Cricetulus griseus: one gene and its partners. The protein of the gene in region 2 purifies or fractionates together with the protein of the main gene of each other region. This does not show direct contact. Links are inferred from orthologs where the notes say so. Each region holds a gene or a part of one and is shown on either strand. Other genes may lie near its edges.

What was found.
Region 1: the proteins of Eps15 (region 2) and Crk purify together in Homo sapiens (affinity purification with mass spectrometry; 3 studies listed by BioGRID and IntAct, with this or other methods). This does not show direct contact. The link is inferred for Cricetulus griseus from reciprocal best matches to the Homo sapiens genes EPS15 and CRK.
Region 3: the proteins of Eps15 (region 2) and Ap2a1 purify together in Homo sapiens (affinity purification with western blotting; 5 studies listed by BioGRID and IntAct, with this or other methods). This does not show direct contact. The link is inferred for Cricetulus griseus from reciprocal best matches to the Homo sapiens genes EPS15 and AP2A1.

The regions. Positions count from the first base shown.
Region 1 is NC_048600.1:89,144,206-89,148,331, forward strand, and holds the start of Crk (adapter molecule crk), read left to right. Parts: upstream 1-1,302; 5' UTR 1,303-1,448; coding exon 1,449-1,689; intron 1,690-4,126. UniProt on the Homo sapiens protein: Involved in cell branching and adhesion mediated by BCAR1-CRK-RAPGEF1 signaling and activation of RAP1.
Region 2 is NC_048595.1:40,533,899-40,538,139, reverse strand, and holds the start of Eps15 (epidermal growth factor receptor substrate 15), read left to right. Parts: upstream 1-1,432; coding exon 1,433-1,465; intron 1,466-4,241. Other genes in the region: uncharacterized protein LOC103159787, read right to left, coding at 1,045-1,434. UniProt on the Homo sapiens protein: Involved in cell growth regulation. May be involved in the regulation of mitogenic signals and control of cell proliferation. Involved in the internalization of ligand-inducible receptors of the receptor tyrosine kinase (RTK) type, in particular EGFR.
Region 3 is NC_048599.1:153,739,065-153,741,746, reverse strand, and holds part of Ap2a1 (AP-2 complex subunit alpha-1), read left to right. Parts: intron 1-226; coding exon 227-324; intron 325-511; coding exon 512-743; intron 744-820; coding exon 821-988; intron 989-1,073; coding exon 1,074-1,234; intron 1,235-1,801; coding exon 1,802-1,858; intron 1,859-1,957; coding exon 1,958-2,040; intron 2,041-2,168; coding exon 2,169-2,258; intron 2,259-2,682.

The DNA of each region.
Region 1 (4,126 bases), on a different chromosome or scaffold from region 2:
TGGAAGTTTTAAAGATTTTCAAAGTTTTATGCAGGGTAACAACAGATTTGTATTTAGAAAACTTGTACTGATGGCTATTACAGTGTCATCCAGCAAGCCAAACTAAGGAACAGCAGCAGGCGGGCTGTGCACTGGAATCTTAGCAATAGTGGCCAGCCAGGCATGTTGGTGCATTCTTATAATCCCTGTACTGGGGAGGCTGGCGTGGAAGGATCTTGAGTCGGCCTGGGCTACATCATAAGATTTCATGTCAAGCAGGGCATTGGTGATGGCACACGCCTTTAATCCCAGCACTCGGGTGGTAGAGGCAGGTGGGTCTCTGTGTTTGAGGCCAGCCTGGTCTACAGAGTGAGTTAGAGGACAGAGAGGGATACACAGAGAAACCCTGTTTCAAAAAAACAAAAACAATTTTTTTCATTTCAAAGTAAAAAAAAATTGAGAGAGATGATCATGATCATGAAGCAAGTGAGAGTAGGAGACATCCATCACTACAACTGAGAATATAGAGGAAACTGTCTGGTTGACATAGGAGCCTCAATCCTTTCTCCTGTCTGAGCATTTTGTTTTCTTTGCATTGAGTATCCTTCCCCACTTGCCATTCAACACCCAATCATTCAAGCCACCTCATCTGTGGACCCTTGTTTGTTGTTTAGGTTTTGTAAGGTAGGGCCTCAGACTCACAGTAATCCTCCTGTCTCAGTTTCCTAAGTGTTGGTGTTACAGTCATGAGTCACATTACCAGTCCCTTGGATCCCTCTACAGACTGCCTAGTTGATCTCTTTATATTCCTGTTTTCCATCATAGCATTTGTTGTTCCTTTGTCATTAATTGTTTCCTGGTTCCTCCCACTGGTCTGTGAATTTGGTGACTTACGGCCCAGTCTGGATCACCACTGCACCTGCAGGGAAATGTAACGTCTATGATTGTTACTGAGTAACAAGAACTTCTGCTTACCTCGGGGGAAACTGAAGAAAACAGCAGAAAAATACCAGCTTGTCAGGGAGCTTTGAGGGAGGCTAACATCTTGGGACCGTTTACTACTCCACTCCTGTAGGTCCTGGGCGAAAGACCTAGGCCACCAATCTGTCAGACACACATCAGTCAGCTTGCAGACTGAAGCTCCGCCCCTTAGTCCTAGACTCCGCCTCCCCATCCTCGGTCGCCAGGGTTTGGACCTGGAGGCGACGCCCATGAAGAAGCCGCGTGCGCACTGCGGGCCCCAAGGACTCCGTTTCCCTTCTCCCAATGGCGGGCGGCGGTCCCCCTTCCCGGCAGCCTCCCTCGGGTAGAGAGCGCGTCATTTCCGGTGGGGAAGGCCCGCGGCCGCCGCCGCCATTTCGGGCGCTGCTGGGAGGCTGACACCGGAGCCGGTCCGCTGGGCGGCGGGCGCCAGGGCTGGAGGGGCGCGCGTGGCGGCGGCGGCCCAGCGTGAAGGCGCGGAGGCGGCCATGGCGGGCAACTTCGACTCGGAGGAGCGGAGTAGCTGGTACTGGGGCCGCTTGAGCCGGCAGGAGGCGGTGGCGCTATTGCAGGGCCAGCGGCACGGGGTGTTCCTGGTGCGGGACTCGAGCACCAGCCCCGGGGACTATGTGCTCAGCGTTTCGGAAAACTCGCGTGTCTCCCACTACATCATCAACAGCAGCGGCCCGCGCCCTCCAGTGCCTCCGTCGCCCGCTCAGCCTCCGCCGGGTGAGGGACAGGCGGGCGGGAGGCCCCGGGCGGGGGTGAGGGCCGTGGAACTCTGGTCCGCTTCAGGAGGAGGGACGTGGGCAGAGAGGGCAGGAGTGACCCTGGCGGGGGAGCTGCCTTCAGCCCAGGCTGGTTCCCACCGACGAGCGGGATTGTGGGGGAGGAGGAGCTGCTCACCGAGGCCTCTGGGTGTGCCTTGGGAGCCGGGGAAGGGGAACTGCTGCGGCCCCGGGGTGGGGCTGGGCGCCAGGGTCAGGCCCAAGGGCAGGGCAGGGCCAGGCAACTTGGGGACAAAGAGTTAGTGGGGATGTTGCGGGGACACAATTTGGCAGAGGTGCCCAGAATGGATCTGCTAATCCTACAAGTGGCTTTTAGGCTTGAAACGTTTCCTGCAGTGTTAGAGCCGGTTTTGGCCATACTCCCCTGGTGGCCTTCGGTAGGAAGTCACCACGTACTGGCTGGCTGGGAGGGATGGAGACACCCTCAGGAAGCCGGTCGGTTTTTTCCTTTCTTGGGCATTTTTCCAAAATCTTTTTACCGTGTTCTTCCCTTGTGGAATACGAAGGTGGTGAACTAAGTGACTTGGTAATAGAAAAAAGCCTTCTGTGACCAGCCCAGAGTAATTGAAGCCTAGCTGGCAAACTGTCCAAGAGGTTTGAAGTGTCCAAAAGACTGCCTGCTGCAACTAGAGTTTCTAGTTTCAAAGTGATTAGTGGGGGAAAGGTTTTTTTTTTTTTTTTCCTTCAGAAAATAAACCAGGTATAAGCCAGTGAGAACAACCCTGGAAGTGAATGGAGCTTCATTCTCCTTGGGTTTAAACAGTGTCAGTCATGTACTTCTGGGTCTTTTATTGCTCAGTAAGTTGGTGTTGTAGTCAAAGTCTTCCAAGATACAAGAACAGACCTGTCTGTAAAGATAACACCAAGCATTTTAGTTATCCCACGGGGTCTTGTCAAGGATCAATGAATTGTAACCGCCTTGCCCATACTGTTGGAGTTGTCTGGCAATGTTAAGGAAATACATCCACTTAGCACTTGAGGTTTTTGAGATACAGAGTGATTCTGTGATTGCCTTTGTCTGTGTATGTATGTAATGCATCAAGTTTCTTGCTTTCTGGATGTTTGAAGTGAAAGCCTTTTTCTCCTAGATCTGAGCCAGTCTCATGAATGAAGACTCCTTGGCTAACCATAGCAGACCTGCCCTTTTTAGGATAGTCCTAACTTAGATTTATTCACTTTGGCCTGAAATGAGGTGCGATAAAGATAGTTCTTTTTGTTAGCACACACAAGTTAAGGGAAGAATTTAGTATTGAGGTCCTTTTAGTTTACACATTTAGATCTTTCTAGGTCTCATTGGTTTAATATGTAAAATAAAATAAGAATATTAATGTAGCACATTTGCCCTAAAGGTATTTGTGCCATCTGCAAGGTATCTATTTTATGTTAAGTGCAGTACTAGGATGGTATGTTGTCATTGAAATTCAATTTCCAACCACATGTCATAGTTAATGCCTGTAATCCCAGCACCTGGGAGACCGAAGCAAGATGATTTTACAAGTTCCAGGCTATCCTGGAGAACTTAGTAAGACTCTGCCTCAAAATAAAAAGTTAGGATGGGGGTGGGACTGGGAATATAATTCAGTGGTAGTTTATTTGCCTAGCATTAGGGAAGCCCAGGTTTTATTTCCAATAGTAGGGTAGAAAATTTCAGTCCTCAGCTTTCTCTCTATGTGTTTTGTTATAAAACTTGGGAATAGTAGCAGGCAGGTTTGTTAGTTTGATATTTCTCCATACCTGGGCATTGTGGTTTTATATCTCAGCAGCTCCACCTTTTCAAAATAGATGGTTGGTCTAAGAGAGGAGATTGCCAGTTTGTGGGTGGGGTAGGAAAGTTCATTGGCATTGTGGCAATTTGTTCTGTCATGTACCCTATTTTCTCTTTAGGGCAGTCAGTTCACTTGCTGTTTTTTACTTTATGATGGATACTTAATCTTTGCCCCCCCCCCATTAAGCTCTTTTTGTTTTAAAGCTACATAGGGATTACTTGAGTTTTAGAGAGGCATATATAATATTAATAGCTGACACTTATTGACTGCTTATTGTATGCCAGATGCTTTGCTGAGGACTTTCTGTGCCTTACAGAAGTTACTGTCGGTAACAATATAGTGAGTGAAATATTGCAATGTGCATTTATTAAAATATTTCCAGTTTTTGGACGAAAGAACTAGAAATCCAGTAACTTGTAAGGTCACAAATTTAGTATATAACTAAACCAGAATTTGAGCTAGACAGTGTCACCTGAGAACTGACCCGGCCCCTTATTATATAGTTTTGTTATTCTTTGTTTATTTGCTTTGAAATCCCTGAAGTGCACTTAGGAAACTCCATTCTTTTGTTTTGAGACAGAGTCTTACTGTGCAACCCTATCTGGTCTGCAA
Region 2 (4,241 bases):
CACTTAAGTAAACAAGTCCTTAGGGGGATGCTTACTTCCTCCTGTAGAGAGGTTAACAAAACAGTGTGTACACTGGTTTGGAGAGGAGATACCTTGCCAAGAAGTGAATTTGGGATGGGACCAGGGCTTTGTGCACACAGGTACCACTGAACTGCACTGTGGTCCTACACATTTGTTTTTAAGTGAACACTCTAAGAGAGAAAGGTAGCAGACAAGGGAAGTAGTCTTGTCCTGCTCCCCAGATTTTGGCTTTAGGAGGAAAGGATTTATTACTTGCCTTCATTTTCAACATGACAGCAGGTAGAAAGGCCTTGGAGTTAAACTGTAATCTGGCTTTTTAGTCAGATGTTTGACTTCAGGTAAGATAATTTCTTTTTTTGGAGGGGTGTTCCTTTTTTTTTTTTTTTAAATTTCAGACAGGGTCGTATGTATCACCTATGTATCCTTGGCTGTTCTGGAACTCACTATGTAGACCAGGACTGTTGGGAAGCTCACAGAGATGTGCCACCATGCCCAGCTGGGTTTCATCTTCCTCATTTGTATAGTTTTTTTTTTTTTTTCTGTTTCAAATCCTCTAGTCACGCAATTAAAAAAGAAAGAAAGAAAGAAAGAAAAGAAAAGAAAAGAAAAGAAAAAAGCCGGGTGGTGGTGAGGCAGAGGCAGGCATACCTCTGTGAGTTTGAGGCCAGCCTGGCCTACAAAGCAAGTTACAGGATAGCAGGACTACACGGAGAAAAACCTGTCTTGAAAAACAAAAACACAAACAACAACAACAACAAAAACAACAAAAGGGCTTTTAGGACTGGAGTGGTAGCGCACACCTTTAATCCCAGCACTCTGGAGGCAGAGGCAGGTGGATCTCTGTGAGTTCGAAGCCAGCTTGAGGCTACATAGAGACACCATGTCTCAAAAGCAAGCAAACAAAAAATTAAAGCATTTAGTGCAGAGCCAATCGCACATAAATTAGTATAGTTTAATATTATTATTGCTAAACCATTGCTATCATTACTTAGTACCATTACTCTCGTAGTTCCCACAACCCACCTGGACCTGGGTATATTTTCCCGCACTTTTCAGGAACAGCAGCCCAGAAAGGTAGGCGTTTTGTCTCAACTTCTCAGGTCTCTGTGGGGGCCGCCTCCGCCGCCAGTCCGCCCGGTGCGCCATCCGCACCGGGTTTTCCAGGGCGGCCGGGGTCAGGGCCTGGTTCCGCGCCCCAGACACCCGCGCCGGGCTTTGCGCGCCGCCGCGGCCTGTGGGGCGGGGCGGCGGCGGGGCGGGGCGGGGCGGGGCGGCGTGAGGAGGGAAGTTGTCGAAGTTCGGGGAGACGCCCGGCCGCCGGCCTCGCCTACGGCCTGTCCCTCCGCCTCCTTCCCGCCCCGGGCCCCCGTCCGCCCGTCCTTCCTTCTTCCCGTGGCATGATGGAAACACCATGGCTGCGGCAGCCCAGCTCTCCCTGACACAGGTAACGCCGCCCGCCGGTCCGCCCGGGTCGACCCGCCGGGTTTCCCCAGCCCTCCCCACCGCTCTCGCGCTGGCGCGGCGGCGCCCCGGGGCGCGCTCGGCGGAGCGCGTGAGGAGCGCGGGCGCGCCCCCGCCCCGAGGCGCGGCCGCCGCGCCCCGCCCGGGTCGCCGGGCGCACGGCTCCGCCCCGCGCGGCTCCCACCCTGCCGCCTCCGCGGGTCTCCGCTCCGCTCCCCTCCCGGTCCCGTCAGCGCTCACGCTCTCGGGAAGTTTCTCTGCGGGCCTGACGGCCGCCAGGTGAACTCCCGTAGGGCTCGCGCAGTGCGAGGCTCGCCCTCGGCGGAGCGGGGTTCCCTCAGCTTTGCTCGGCTTTGGCGTGCGGGAGTGACCGCTGCCGAGATCCCCCCGGCTCCCCGAGTCATCCTCGCTTCCAGAAGTCGCAGCCTGCCCAGGTACTTGCCCCACTCGCGCCTCTCCCTCCTGGCAGGTTAACTTCTGCTCAGATCCCCTTGCAGACTTTCCCACCCGTGCGGGGCAGTCTCGGATCGCCGACCCAGTGGGTAACAGCGCCAGCCTTCAGCAGGTGGGGTGGCCCTGTCCTTCGCCGTCTGGGATCCCCCGGGGGACATAACTTTGTCCTAGGACGATTTCATCCAAAAGCTGTTTTCGATCTCTCTGAATCGCTCCCCCGTCTCGCTATTTCGTCCCCCCCCACCCCCGTTTTCCTTCATAGTCAAGTCCTAGAGTTTCATAGGGAACTCTTGAACATATTCACTCAGGAGAGCCGGAGTTCTCCGTTTCTTTAAACCCAAGAGCAATCCGACATCCAGGAGAGTGAGGTGCCATACACCTGCCATTCCATCCATCTTAACTGCCCAGAAGTTTGTCCTCCCCAGAGCTGGTAACTGCCCACCTCAGCTTTACAGCCTGCCCTGTGATAGCTCCCTTCCATCTTGTCTCTTCGGCCTAGATTTACTTGACTTAAGCTAAAGTTTTTACACTAAGGTAGGGCATGTGTTTGGACAGTAGACTCTTACTGTGTTACGATGAAGGAGTCTTATGATTTTTTCTTTTTCTTTTCCCCCTAGCATTTTTGGATAGAAAAGAAAAAAAGTATCTTCCCTAGGGACCAGGATGGAGATTTTACTTACTTTGAGACAGGGTTTCATGTAGACCAGGCTGTCCTTGAACTCAGTGAGTAGTCAAGAATAAATTGAATTTTGGCTCATTCTGCCTCCATTTCCCAAGTGCTGGGATTATAGGCTGGGCCACTATACTAAGTTTATTTATTGCTAGGGATCAAACCCAGGACTTCATGACGGCTAGGCAGGTACTCTACCAACTAAGCCACATGCCCAGAAAAAGTGATTATATATATTATATATAATATATATAGTCTCTGTCTCCGTGCCCCCCCCCACACATCTCTTCAGGTAAAAGAGTTTCAGTGTACAGGAATAGCCTCACAAACCTCACTGCACATTTATTTCCTGTGGGTCATTATGTTTTGATCAGCAGATAACAGGGAAAACTTTTAAGATAGAGCCTTTAACTGGTCTAGTCTTGGTCATTAATCTGTTTGGAACGATCATTCTGAAACTCAAATTTGGGGAATGGAAACATTGACTTTTGGGTGTTGACTTTCTTAGTCTAGTTAGTGACCTGCCTTAAACATGATCTCTGTTGGCAGTCTGTTCTGACTCTGTTGGCTAATTCTGGCAGTTTCCCCTCTTAAAGAATTCGTTCCCTTGAAGACTTCTTAGTTGTGTGCCTACTTGATTTTCTCCTTGGATGGGACTGTGTTTTTAGTTTCTGTTTACTATCATTCATCTCTGGAAATTTGCTTCAGGCTCTTACTTTTATAGTCACTTTCACAATTTACATATGTTCTTGTGGTTATATATTTAGGTGTTAACATGTATGCAGAATAAATGCTGAATCAATAAGGGGAATTGAACTTTAGTATCCAGTGTTTGAATTTATATTAATAATTCAAATAAGTCAATTTAGAATATTTTGATATTAAAATACCAAGATTCAGTGAGATTATATTGTAAAGGCACAGAAGAAAACTGTTTTTAAATATTTACTAATGTGTCTTCCTTTGAAACCTAGTAAATTTAGCCTGGCGTTGGTGGTGTATGTCTTTAATCCCAGCACTTGGGAGGCAGAGACAAGCCGATCTCTGTGAGTTCAAGGCCAGCCTTGTCTACAAATTGAGTTCCAGGACAGGCTCCAAAGCTACAGAGAAACCCTGTCTCCAAAAACCAAACCAAACAACAAACAACTCCCCCCCCCAAAAAAAAAAATCTAGTAAATTTGTGGTTCTTAGATCGAGTTAATTAATGTATATGAATGTTTTGCCTGCATGTATATATGTATATGTTGGCATGTGCATGCCTGGTGCCCATGTAAGTCAGAAAAGGGTGTCAAATCCCCTGCAGCTAGAGTTATGGATGGTTATAAACCATCATGTGGGTGTTGGGAACCCAACCTGAGTTCTCTGCAAGAGCAATAAGTGGTCTTAACCAGAGTTAAGTCTCTACAGCCCCTGGTTTTTAACGTGTGTGTGTGTGTGTGTGTGTGTGTGTGTGTGTGTGTGTGTGTGTGTGTGTGTGTGTGTGTGTGTGTGTGTGTGTGTGTTCTGAGACAGTCTCACTATATAGCGCAACCATGGCCTTGGCTGCCTGGGACTTTGTAGACCAGGCAGGCCTCAAATTCAGTTATACCCACGTCTGCTAGGTTTAATTTTTTTTTTTTTAAGTTAAATTAATTGG
Region 3 (2,682 bases), on a different chromosome or scaffold from region 2:
GTAGGTTCCACAGTTTTTAGTACCTTCCCAAACAGCGTCAGCAGCTGGGGATCAAGCACTAAAATCATAGTATGTGTGGGAGATCTCAGAATCACACTGTAACATTGAGTTTAGGCTAGTCACTTAACAACTCCCATGCCTCAGTTTATGACCCCATGTACATTGCAGAGGTCAGGGGGACTTTTCTATCCTTGTCCTCACACTGCTGTCCCTTGCTCCCTCACAGGCCCTCCAGGCCCCAGCCTGTCATGAAAACATGGTGAAGGTCGGTGGCTACATCCTTGGGGAGTTTGGGAATTTGATTGCTGGGGACCCACGCTCCAGGTGAGGGAGCCTCATTCTGGGGGACCTACTAGGGGTTGGGGAACCCCCATGAGGCTGAGAGCTGAGAAATGATGGGGTTCCTAGGAACCTTCTCAACACGTTTCAGTTGCCCGCTTGGGTGATGTCATAGCCTTGCCTTAAGGTGTGTGGGTGACGGGCGTGTCTGCTGACCTCACCTCCTCCACAGCCCACCTGTGCAGTTCTCACTGCTGCACTCCAAGTTCCACCTGTGCAGCGTGGCCACTCGCGCCCTGCTGTTGTCCACATATATCAAGTTCATCAACCTCTTCCCTGAGACCAAGGCCACTATCCAAGGAGTTCTGCGTGCCGGCTCCCAGCTGCGCAATGCCGATGTGGAGCTACAGCAGCGGGCAGTGGAGTACCTCACCCTCAGCTCTGTAGCCAGCACCGATGTTCTGGTCAGAGCCCATGCCCCACACCTTGGGACCACCCTCTTGGGCCATAAGTGCCCCCTAACCTCCCCTCCTGCCCACAGGCTACTGTACTAGAAGAAATGCCCCCATTTCCTGAGCGCGAGTCATCCATTCTGGCCAAGCTGAAGCGCAAGAAGGGCCCTGGGGCAGCCAGTGCCCTGGATGACAGCCGTAGGGACACCAGCAACAGTGACATCAATGGGGGTGTGGAGCCCACCCCCAGTACCGTGGTGAGCCCAGTTATGGACCACATGGCCAGGCTGGGTCCCCTCTCTCTTGCCCTGTCTCACCTATACCGTCTAACCTTAATTGCAGTCGACACCCTCACCCTCCGCGGACCTCTTGGGGCTGCGGGCAGCCCCTCCCCCTGCTGCACCTCCAGTCCCTGTAGGTGGGAACCTCCTGGTGGATGTCTTCTCTGATGGTCCCACGGCACAGCCCAGCCTGGGACCCACCCCTGAGGAGGCCTTCCTCAGGTACCTCCTGTTCCTGTCCTACTCAGCCCCATCCCCTTTCATCTCCTTCCTGTGCCTAGCCTCTGGCTGCCACTAGACTCTGCTGCCCTGCCTACCTTGTGCTGTTCTTTCCCATAGCTGTATCTCAGCCCACTTTTCTTTCTGAACCCTCTTGCCTCTCTTTCCCTGGCCCTCTTGCTGCCCTCTGGGATTGGCTGCCTGCCACACCTGTCTTCTCTGTCTGCTCTGGGATTGGATGGCCCAGCGAGCTGGAGCCCCCTGCCCCTGAGAGCCCCATGGCTTTGTTGGCTGACCCAGCTCCAGCTGCTGAGTAAGGGGTGGCCTCTGGCTATTGGGATTGACGGATGTTCCCAGGGTGGGCTTCAGGGGTTTCTGATGACTGGCAGGGTTAGGAAACAGTGAAAGTTGGGGTCCTAGGGAGATCCCTCTGCCAGGGTCCCACTCCCATTCCTGAGGGTCTCTGGGGAAGCTTGGCCTGTGGGTTCTGGGGAATCTGCCTTCCAAGGGAGTGTTGCCTATACCTGTTTCCTCAAGCCCATGTTCATCTCAATTCTTCCTCCCCTCCAGCCCAGGTCCTGAAGACATAGGCCCTCCCATCCCAGAAGCAGATGAACTGCTGAATAAGTGAGTTCTGGGAGGGGTGGGCTGGAGAGTAGGGACAGTTGGGAACATAAAGATGGGTGGTCAGGAGCCCTACCATCCTGACTCCCACCACTCTGCCAGGTTCGTGTGTAAGAACAGTGGGGTCTTGTTTGAGAACCAGCTGCTGCAGATTGGAGTCAAGTCCGAGTTCCGACAGAACCTGGGTGTGTCCTGGTAGCCTGGAGTGGGGTGCTGGAGGGTGGGTTCTCGGCAGTCACCTCTGCCTGGCTGAGCTGGCGGTAGGGGATGGGATCAGAAGAGCTTGGATGGAACCCTTACCCACCCGCTGCAGGCCGAATGTATCTCTTCTATGGCAACAAGACTTCTGTGCAGTTCCAGAGCTTCTCGCCTACCGTGGTCCACCCCGGAGACCTCCAAAATCATATCCTCTGCTCTTGGCCTTGATAGTGCCCCAACCCACTCCTGTAGGCCCATGGGAAGCAGACACTCACTCTGAATTAGGCACATGCCACTTCCAAGACTGTTTGCATAACCAGGGACAGATGACAGTGACCCAATGAACAGGATGTATGACTTCCAGCACCCTAACTACCTTGCCAGACTCATGACCTTTGCTGGTGTGGTCTGTGTGGGGCTTCACGCCCTGCGGCTGCACTCGGTTTAACCAGGGATGCTGCATACACTGCTGGCCCTGCAGTGCCTCAGCTGGGCAACTTGCTTCCTAACCCTCCAGGAAAAGTAGATCTCCCTCTTCTGCTTTTGAGGACCCTTTGTTGTTTTGAAACTGTTTAATGTAGCCTGGGCTAGTCTCTACTCACTCTACAGATCGGGCTGGCTTTGCGGCC